Linked DNA regions of Danio rerio. The protein of the gene in region 1 interacts with the protein of each later gene in a pairwise test. Links are inferred from orthologs where the notes say so. Each region holds a gene or a part of one and is shown on either strand. Other genes may lie near its edges. The genes, in order: srrm4, zrsr2 and srsf11.

Region 1 (3,658 bases):
GTGTGACATAAGTAGTGAGGTGCTCTCACAAGAGAGCACGAAACCTTCCAAATTAAAACGACATTCGGAAACCTGACAGCATGTTTTATTAACTGTTTAGTTCATGGTAACTGAACCTTTCCTTACCCTAACCACTGTTAACAGGATTTGTCGTTTTTACTTTGTAATATTTCTATAATTTGATACATTTTGTTAAATGACAGCAATAAAATATTGTTTATTTGTAAGTCTTGGTGATGTTCTAATGATTTATCTGTCACTACTTGTGTGTGGTAACAAATAAATACAAATTAATTATAATTGCTAAAATTATATTATAGTTCCTAAAAATTTGAGTCGCGGCTTGATGACCATGTAAAAATGTGGCCAAAATGTGGCCAAACCAGTTGAGAACCCCTGGTCTACAAAACAAGCCACTGTTATACAATGACTTGCCTAGTTACCCTAACTTGCCTTATTAAAATAATTAAGCCTTTAAATTTGCACTTAAGCTGAATACTAGTATCTTGAAAAATATCTAATAAAATATTGTGTATGGTCATCATGGCAAAGAAATCAGTTTTCAGAAATTAGTTATTGGAACTATTATATCAAATATATATTTCCATTAAACATAAATTGGGGAAAAACACAATGGGGGCTAATAATTCTGACTTCAACTGTATGTATATTTAAATATTTTATTTCCATAGAGCACAGAGATTAATTCACTTTGTGCAGAATATTTGCAATGATTTGAAAGTGTATGTACATTATATGAAAGCACTGGGAGCACATTACAAGATTTTCTTGGCTTAAAATAACCCTTTCATTCAGTGTTATTTCAAAAGCGAAACATTTGTTTTTTTTACCAACATGTGGCCCTGTTTGTTCTTCCAGATCTCCCTCCTGCAGCCCGTCACCCGTGAGGAAGAAGAAGAAAAAGAAGAGCTCAAAGAAGAGGAAGCGACATAGGTAGTGATTGATTTTCACATCAGGTCATGTTCAGAGCTTTGCTTTGAGTACGCTTTGCTAGATGCGGTGTGTTTGTTTGGTCACGACTGTCTTTAAAGTCAGCTCCTCTCTGCCTCCAGGTCTGCCTCAAGGAAGGGAAGACACAGGTAAATTTTACATTCAGTGTCTTGCTTCAGAATAAATGGCCCAGTGCTTTTGCACAAATGATACCTGACCGTTATTGTGAAGTGCTTTTGTGTTGTTTGCGGCTCTATCCATAAACCATCCTGTGGGACCTTTCCATTTAAACCCAATCAATAATTGTCGTGCTGTTTTTACAGTGGCTCGAGCTCCAGACGTAAAAGGAAGGAGGACAAAAAACACAAAAAGAGGTTGGTGATTTAAAAATGGGAATTTAATTATTTAACCCATCAAATCTCCATTTGTCTTTCTCACAGTTTAAGTACATGCATTTCACTCATCATGCTGAGTGATAGGATTACGTGCAACACTCAAATAGAAACAGAATGATGGCGAGTGCGATAAAAATGCATGGTATGTTTGTTGCGAAAGCACAATATTCACACAGCATGGCTCAGAAACATCCTGCTTGTAATCTAGAGCTAGTGACCCAATGTTCATACAGTATTCACTTAAGTTAATCAATTTAATTTTTATTTCAAAGTCCAAAATTATTAATAACAATTTTCAAGCTTCCAGAATTAAGAAAAAAATACATGCTCACATTTTCATCCGATGGGAATAAAGAAATAAAGGGTGCATTTTTTATGAGATGCAAAATAAGTGTCTAATGACTGTGTATGTGTCAGGGTTTCAGGAAGGATGAGGGAGCGAGGACTCAATTGCAACATAAGATGGTATTTATTAATAAAAATAAAACAAAAAGGACAACAAAAACCACCCCGAGGGGGAAAAACATAACTATAAAACAAACACTCAAACAAACTTGGATGGGCTGGCAGGACAAACAGGACTAGATAGCACACGACATGGAAATAACGACGATGAACTGGCAAAGGACTGAAAACATGAGGGGGATTATAAAGCAAAAAGTAAATTGACACACAGGTGAACATGACAAACTAATAATGAGTAAACAAGGAGGGTGGGACTAGACAATAGACGGGAGAGCGCATGACACAGAGAGACAATACAAGCCATGCGCTCACATAACACAACACTGAAGCACACGACAAAAGCACGTGACAACAATGTAAACACCGAGCCACGTGCTTTGACAAAAGACGCAAGACACGAGCACACGATGAATGAAAACACTCACCGTGCGCTCACACACGCAGCGTGCATGCTTCATCCCAGCGCCGACCAAAACCGAAACCAACAAGACTGAGACACTGGGAATGAAACACCACGCTGCTGACAGACGAAAACACAAACACGAGTACAAGAGCGCACGCGTCTGAGTGACGCAGAGCGCACGCGCGGCCGCATCAAGCAGGAGCGCTCACTCTGCGTACACCCACGACGGCGCGCGCACACACAGAGACAGAAACAGGACCAGACATGGGTAGTGTCCGAGCTCTGCCACCAAAACAAGAATTTACAAGACCAGAGTGGCAGAACCCTGACAGTATGTGAGGTTTCAGCTCAAAATACCCCATACATAATGTTTTAGAATTCCTTGAAACTGCCCCTTTTAGGCTTTGATCCTAATTGTGCCCTCTTTTTTAAAAGGTGCGGAGCTACAAATGCATTTGTGTCAGTATAGTAGCAGATTCAAAAACAAGACTAACGTCCTATGCCAGGGATATTCAATTAGTTTGGCATGGGGGCTGGTTCATGAAAAGCATCCCAAACGAAGGGCCGGAGAGATATGACTTGCTAAATGAGTGGTGACACTACTACATATAAGAGCCTGTATGCTGTATTTGTGCTCATAAAGACACCCACGTTGGCATTTTCAACATTAAAATGTTAACATATTGTATTTTAAACAACTGCATTGTCCAATTCACTTTTTTTGTTTACAAGCATTCAAAATGTTGTATTTCGCACAACAAAAACAGTGCATTGCTGAAGTAGGCTTCTTCTACATTCAGACACATTCATATGTTATGTTTTAAACAGCAATTAGTGATGCAACATTATAGATTTTGGTTGTACGATATAGTCTGAAGAATAATCATGGTTTCATGGTTATCAAGTCTAATGTAATTTAGAACAACAAGCTTTATATAAGGGAAGTAGCTATTTAGATTAACTGTTGTCATCATCTGGGTTCATGCGTATATAATCATTTTAATAATAATTGGTCTAACATATCTTTTGTTTACATTGCACTAAAAGGCACGCACAACTCTCACTGTGAGATTTTTTTTACTGCGTGCGCCCGGACAGAGGCAAGTGCGTTGCTCCGCTTGTGCGGCCATATTGGCATTCTTACATTAGAAATAACAAACTTGCGAGCGGAAAAGACATGATATGGGTTAGGCCGCTGCTACAGTTAATCCGGTGACCGTGTGTATTAGCCTCGGTGTACATACTTGGAACTTTAAACTAGTGCATAGTTGGCAACTTGTCATAACTTTTCTGTGCAACAGAAATGGGGCTTAGAGAAGCCTTCACGATTAACTAACTGTGCTGAATTAAAGCGCAGGTAATGGTGATATCAGCTAATCGTCGCATCCCTATTAATGATTACAGTGCATTGTACAAAAGGCATTTTCTACAAAACATATTCAAA
Region 2 (3,758 bases), on another chromosome or scaffold:
GATCTGGCTTAAGTACGAATTAGTCTAATGTATATGCACAAATATAATATTGTAACACTTCCTATAGAAATATTAACCCTCTCAAGGCAGGCGTTGCTGATTTGCAACAGTTAAAAGCATAGATTTTGCCTGTTTCTAAAATTTAATTTGAGCCTGAAAGGGTTAATTGAAATGATATATTTATGAAGTGCTCTGCATATAAAATATATTATAAAAATATATTATCATAAATTTCTCATTTCAATTAATATATCTATAGGAAGTGTTACAAAATTATATTGTAGAATTACACTTATCAATTTATTTAAAAGGCACCTAGAAGTTTCAGCTCAAAACACCCATCAGATTTTTCATTATACCTTTTACAAGATCCTGTTTTATACATTTTTCCACCAGGGGGTGATTTTGTCGTACTGCGCCTTTAAGGCGAGTCCTCCCCGCCTACTGTTTCTATGTGCCTTCCCGCGTGCTTTAATCTCCTCCCTCGGCTGCGTTAGACAACAGACAGACTTAAAGGAAGAAGATCTCACGTAGCGTTTGTTGGAAATACTACAGTAAGAACTTTACCAATGAGTATTTGTTGTGCAGTTGCACTGATGAGTCACATGCAATATCGTAACAAAGTTCACACGCGCGCGCACGCACGCACACACGCACGCACGCACGCACGCGCACACACACACACACACAGGCAGACAGGCAGACAGACAGACAGACAGAGCGCGCTTAGCTTTGCACTGTTTTTGCACGCAAATGTGACAGGATACAGGTTAATCTCCACTGCTGTGTTGGTATCTGTTATGTTATTTTATAAAATAAACCTGATTTAATGTCCACAAACAGAGATTGAAGCATCTTCTTTTATAATTATTCTGACATGCGGCTGTGCTGATGAAGTAAAGCTGAAGTGAATCACTGTAATTAATTACACGTGCAAATAATACTAATTATTATAAATTACAAATGTATATACACATATTTTAAAACTAATTTTACTATTTTACCAAGTGTATATAACCTATAAGTTACTACTGTAAGAAAATATCAGCATTCGGTACATACTTTCAGTATCACCTTTGCTTAAAATGAGTCAATCTTATGCTGTTTATATTAAATAAACCTGCACCCGAGCAGGTTTGAGCTACCAGAACTGTTGCAATGACATCAACTCTCGGATTAATTTTAAAGAACAAAACAATCCTGGATCGTGTCAAATCGTCAATAACCAAATCCAGCTAATTGAGTAATCCACATACAAAGAACGAACCCCTGTTCTCCTGTTCACACATTCTTGTCACCTCTTCCTCTGCTTGTAAACTCATAAACAAACACTTGCAATCGGTTCATGAGATCGGCCAGATTGGCGAGTACCGACTGAGTCATTAAATGTAAACGAAGAATCCCTAATTAAAACCATATACTACACATTACAATCACAGGCTCACCTCTTCTTCCTCCTTTCTCTGTTGTGCTGCATCCTCTCGCTCCTTCTTTAACCTGAATTCTTCCTGCGCAATCCTTTCTCTTTCCATCCATTCTTGGTGTAACCGCTCACTGCATTGTTAATAAAGTATTATTTTCAAAATATTTCCATCTTTTCCAACTGATATTAACTAATTAAATTGAAATTGTAAGGCCTTACCTCTCCTCATCAACCTTCAGTTTGTCCTCATCTTCAGCTTCAGACTGAAGTTCCTCATTTTGCAAATTGTTATCTGAAAAGTAGGGAAATGATGTTGCAATATTGGTTTTGAATCTTATGATTATATTATTCACAAAAAAATATTTTAAATTGTTATTTTACAGTATTACTGTTTTAATAAACGTTAAAAGACTAAATAAATGCAGTCTTGAGAGATTGCATTTATTTATTTATTATATTATTTATTTTAAGAGGCTTAGAATATTTAACCTGTAGACTTAAAATACTTTAACACGTAGTGCAGAAATAATAACTACTACTATAATATAATAAACAGTAAAATAAAAAATCTAGAAAATAGCTAATTAAATCGTGTCAATAACCGTGTAAATAAGTTACCTGCTTCTTTTATTTTAGCAAGCGCTTGGCGTTTTCTTTTTCTTCTTTCTCGTTTAAGAGCAGCTCGTCGTTGTTTATGACTAAGAAGTTGGTAAATAAATACATTGTAAATAATTAAAACACATCCATACTGACTGATTTAATACAGCAACAATGTCAAACGTCTGATACAACACCTGAGTACAACAGAAGGAGTTTCACACATATTCAACCGGTTCTCAGAGTCCTGTGTCTCTGTCTGAATCGAGCAACAATCCTTCTCCGTCATTTCAAACCATTATTTAACTCATATCGCTGATAAACAACAACAGCACAAGCTATCAAGCGCAACACATTTTCACCAATCATTCAACGCGCGCGCAAAGATGACATCACTTGCCGCTTTTGATCGGGCATGCTCAGTTTAGAAGTGGGAAGTCAGTTCACTTTACCGAGTCGGTTCATTTGGACAGATCGTATAAATGAACATGTTCAATTAAACTATGAAATCGTTGGTGTTGTTTATTGTTTCACCGTTGTTGTCCCCCCTGGATACTACATTTAATACCACTGTACTACTATTAGTAATAAAACAACAATGATAAAAAATTATTATATGTATTATGATGTACCACTTATTATACCACTGCGACTACTACTATTAGTAATTTAATTATTATTAGTTTATTATAATTATAATAAACAATAATACATTTATATTAACAACAACAAAAATGTTTTAATACCGACAATAACAACAACAACAATAACAATTTTGTTAATATTATTTTGTTGTTGTTATTATTATTATTATTATTATTATTATTATTATTATTATTATTATTATTATTATTATTATTATTATTATTATTATTATAGTAATAGCATTGATATTTAACAACAAAAAAAGAGTCGGTTCAAATGAACGACTCGCTTGTGAATCGGACATCACTACCTCACGTTGGTTTTGCGCTTGTGAGATACGCGAACTGGTTTTGCAAGTGACGTGTGTTGAGTGTAAAAGCCTGTTTTTTCTGCTTTTTGGCTCTATATCCCTGGTCCATTCAGTGGCTACCCCACAGAAAAGTACGCCAAAATGGCCGATAAAGAAGGTAAACTTTTTCCGTAGTGAATTACGTGCAGTATTTATTCTTTTGCCAGAGTTTGCTAGCGTTAGCCTAATGTGCTAACGTTAATGGATGCGACCCACATACTGTCATAAGAATGAATGAGTGTCACAATTTTCTTTATCAAAAACTTGCTTTTCGTGAATTGTATGGCAACTAGCGTGATTAAATTACTATTATTTACATACTGGCTTGAAAACAAGTAATAGCTTCTCAAAGCAGACTGAAACTCCGTTGTTCGCTGATTTCCCTCCATCATTCATATGCTGCTGCTGTGTATCTACTAACGTTAATTCAGGAAATCCCATCTTTACTCTTTAGTTCTGCTAATTTATGTGGGAGCACATCAACTTTCTACTACACAACGCTCTTTCACAGTTAAGTCTTTGTGAAATGTGATCATTTGCATACATTTGGCCTAAAATAAATAAATAAATAAACAAATAAATAGAGAGAAAACACGTTATGCTTGTAATGAAGTCTTTACATTGGTCAACTTCAGTGTGGATTTGATAAGTCCTTTATAAGTTCATAATGCATTTCATGGGTTCGCTCAAGTCTATCCTTCAAAGATGCAATATGTGAACAAGAACTCCCAGATCTTCAGATTA
Region 3 (3,658 bases), on another chromosome or scaffold:
GTTTCTTCCACCGCAGCCTCGATTTCGCTGTTTAAAATGTCCGCCTCGTGAAATCAGTCTATGGTCCTCCTTGCACTGTAGTGATGCTCGTGTGCTTTGTCTTGTCAGATTGGTGGCGTCCCTCTCGGCGGTCTTGGAGGACCAAACTTGGACCCGATGGCAGCTCTGGCCATGGCAGCACCCAATATAAACCCACAGGTTTGACCATTTTCCATTCCTTCAATAATGGCCAGACCTCATCTAGCCTTTGTACAGAAATGGCTAATGTTAAGTGCTAAAGGCTGGACGATATGACGCATATCAATGCCTTGATTATTTGAACTCTTTTGATGATTGAATGATTAATAAAATTTTCAATGTAATAAACTTTTTTTCCCCTCATAATTCATTTGCATTGTAAATATACTCTTAAATATCAAAGGCCTTTTTTCTACAAGCGCAAGTAAACTCTATTACGTTGGTTGTAAGTTGTTCATTTTAGTTTCAGTTAGCTAGTCAGTCTTAAATGTGTTGTAAAATTCATCATTTATAATTTTGCATAACTGACTCACAAATCATGAAGCTGTTTATGCAGCAGGACTCTTTGACTCATGCTTGATGTTTTTCTTCTCAGTCATTGTCAGCTGAGCAGCTCATGAAGCTCATGGCATCAATAGACCCCAAGTAAGTTCATCAAACACCTCATCTGCAATCATGCATTTTGTGTGATTTTAATTTTAAAAATAATCCACATATATAGTATTTATTAAATGGAGCATTAAAGGGAGGGTTCACCCAAATATGAAAATGTACTCTGTTTTAAATCATCTATTTATTGTGTGTTGTTGCAGATTGAATCCTCTGGCCGCTGGGCTCAATCTGACCCCTGGACTGAAGGCAGACGCCTCCAATAAAGAGATTGAAGAAGCCATGAAGAGAGTGAGAGAGGCGCAATCTCTGATCTCTGCTGCCATCGAGCCTGGAAGTAAGTAACTGTGTTTCCACTCGAAGATGAGAATTAGATTCATGCACCAAACTGGAATATTGCAGCGAGAAACTGCACAGATATTGCTGAGAGAAGTGTAGTTTGCTGCACTGTTGGGATTCTCCACTGTGCTGTTTGTTCTTTAATACATGAGCTGTGCCTCAGAACACCACATGCAATGGACGCAGTGAATGTGGTGGAGACAAGAGCACAGACAGATGCTCAAGACAGTTCTGGAGGGAATAATAATAATAAAAGAAGAATAATGCTAAAGCACTGTGATGACGGACTGATGGAGGGCTAAGTGTCTGAACAACATCTCACATCCGCAACAGTGGAGAGCTGAAAACCAACATTAGAGACACAAACACCCTCACACACACACACATTAATATATGATCAGCATCTGTCAGAAACTACTGATGAAGTGCATACACAGTTTATTCACTAAAGCTGTTCACAGCAGACTTCTGTGTTTTTAATTATTAGATATGTTCATATATTTAAACATGTAAGTTTTGTTTACTGCAATATTCCAAAATATGCATGAAGATGGGTGGTTTGAAACGGCTAGTGACCCATCAGACATTCTGCTCATGTAAATATTGAAGGATGCTACACTAAATTGTGTCTGCTTCTCTTTAGGTAAGAAGGATGATAAACGAAAGCGCTCGAGATCGAGGTCCAGATCCAGACGCAGGAGATCCAGGTCCCGCTCCAGACACAGGTCTGTCTTAATCGCAGTTTGAGCTGAAATTTGGGCCAATCTGAATAAATTGTGAGCACAGCAAGGTTATTGTAGTTTTGCATTTGTGAATTAGTTTTATTTTGGTAGTATTTTTAGGTTTGCTGTACGCTTGAGTTTTTGTTCATTCCAATAATGGCTGTTTGTTTTAGTTATGCATTTAGTTTAGTGTTAGTAGTTGTCGTTTATCAGAGTGCACAGAACATGTTTACATTCACTTTTGTGCAAAACATTTAGTATTTAAACCATGCAAAACCTCACAAATGCCATGAATAGAAATTCATTAAATGATAAAGAATTCAGAAAAACTTCATATTAAAAAACAAAGTTTATATAGAGAGAGGGTGTTTAGTATTTTATAATGTTCACTAAGTAAAACATGAGAAGGTCAATGTTTCAGTTAATGAAAATGTCTTTAGACCAGGGTTGACCAAACTGGATCCTTGAGAGCTGCTGTCCCTTCATATTCAACACATCTGCCCTATAATTTTCTAGTCTACCTATAAAGAGCTTGACTATCTGATTAAGGTGTTTGGGTTGTAACTGAACTCTGCAGGACGCTTTGTTTGAGCTCTCCTGCTTTTGACCAATAGCTTTAGTCTTGAGCTGCGGTCACGCTGGAGTTTGTGTGTGTGAAATTGTCATACTGCGCCAGGAAAAGGGCCGGGATCAAACAAGATGATTAGATGTTTAAAGCGAGCGATTGCTCCATATTTTACATTTCTGTGCAGAGAGGACATGTTTGGATCCTCGATTGGTCTCATGCAGTGATGCGATTTCACAGATCAGAGTTCACCAAACTTAAACTTTGCAACACAGCGAACTGCAAAACTCGTCGCATGAGCTTGCATTTCCAGTCTGACACATTCACGTGCATATGAACGGAAGTCTTTGGGGTGAAAAATCAGCTTTAGTTTTGGCTTACTATGATGATGTTGTGACCGCAGGCGCTCCAAGAGTCACTCCAGGCGGAGATCTCGCTCCAGGAGCAGGAGGAGGTCCAAGAGTCCCCGCAGGAGGAGATCTCACTCCAGAGACCGCAGCAGACGCTCCAGGTCCAGGTCAGTGTCTGTCAGTCAGTCCTCGGGTGTGTCAGCTAGGGATGCAGACAATAACTCTGTTTAATTAACTGTAATACTTTTAATAACTACACTATTCACTTAGGGTTAATAAACCATTAAGGCTCCACGATGGCATGTTTCTGCTGCACGTAACAAAGCAAAATCATAACAGTTATGCCAGCAGTTCACGTTGTTTTTAATTCTAAAAATAGAAATAGTTTTTCCTTATTGTTTGCTTTTACTTTTATTTTGTGACGTGAGCTTCAATAAATTACAACACAAAATTTTATAAACATTTGTGTTAAGTTGTTGAATGTAAAAATTAATCAACGTGAAATAAAAAAAATCTGTAAATTTGAATGTCATTTTATGAAAACTGATTGATTTATATTGATAACTGTAGATAATTCTGCTCACTATAATAGTTGTATAAAAATGTTTTTTTTTATAAAGGCTTTTCATCTCTAGTCCTCTATTGAGGCACTCAGGTGTCTCCAGGGTTATTGTGGAGAGATGCTGGCTTGTTTCCTCACAGATGTTTGGTTTGTTTCTGATGTAGAGATCGAAGGAAGGATGAAAAGTACAGGAAACGGTCCAAAACTCCACCCAAGAGCTACAGCAGCGCCAGACGCTCCCGCAGCACCAGCCGGTCAGTCTGGACTGTTGAGTGTTTATTAACTTCTCTTTTGAGTTTTTAGAATCGCCAAAAACATTCTAATTCATTAAAATAATAATAAAAGTTGCCATTTAAGATTTTAAAGTTCAGTTTTCCAAATTCAGAGCCAAATTCTGTGCTTTTCATTAGATTTAGTAAGAAAATGATTTCCTACACGCTTTAATGTAGAGCTATTTAACATTAGAGGTTTTCTGCGAATGTTTTATGTTTGT

The links.
Region 2: the proteins of srrm4 (region 1) and zrsr2 interact in binary tests that used the Homo sapiens proteins (3 or more experiments, as listed by UniProt). The link is inferred for Danio rerio from reciprocal best matches to the Homo sapiens genes SRRM4 and ZRSR2.
Region 3: the proteins of srrm4 (region 1) and srsf11 interact in binary tests that used the Homo sapiens proteins (3 or more experiments, as listed by UniProt). The link is inferred for Danio rerio from reciprocal best matches to the Homo sapiens genes SRRM4 and SRSF11.

The regions. Positions count from the first base shown.
Region 1 is NC_133180.1:16,513,223-16,516,880, forward strand, and holds part of srrm4 (serine/arginine repetitive matrix protein 4), read left to right. Parts: intron 1-879; coding exon 880-954; intron 955-1,073; coding exon 1,074-1,100; intron 1,101-1,274; coding exon 1,275-1,325; intron 1,326-3,658. UniProt on the Homo sapiens protein: Splicing factor specifically required for neural cell differentiation.
Region 2 is NC_133186.1:13,231,317-13,235,074, forward strand, and holds the start of zrsr2 (U2 small nuclear ribonucleoprotein auxiliary factor 35 kDa subunit-related protein 2), read right to left. Parts: upstream 2,388-3,758; 5' UTR 2,310-2,387; coding exon 2,218-2,309; intron 2,122-2,217; coding exon 2,042-2,121; intron 1,716-2,041; coding exon 1,643-1,715; intron 1,555-1,642; coding exon 1,446-1,554; intron 1-1,445. Other genes in the region: histone-binding protein RBBP7, read left to right, coding at 3,117-3,132. UniProt on the Homo sapiens protein: Pre-mRNA-binding protein required for splicing of both U2- and U12-type introns. Selectively interacts with the 3'-splice site of U2- and U12-type pre-mRNAs and promotes different steps in U2 and U12 intron splicing.
Region 3 is NC_133186.1:47,584,489-47,588,146, forward strand, and holds part of srsf11 (serine/arginine-rich splicing factor 11), read left to right. Parts: intron 1-108; coding exon 109-198; intron 199-613; coding exon 614-663; intron 664-830; coding exon 831-964; intron 965-1,609; coding exon 1,610-1,691; intron 1,692-2,656; coding exon 2,657-2,770; intron 2,771-3,329; coding exon 3,330-3,419; intron 3,420-3,658. UniProt on the Homo sapiens protein: May function in pre-mRNA splicing.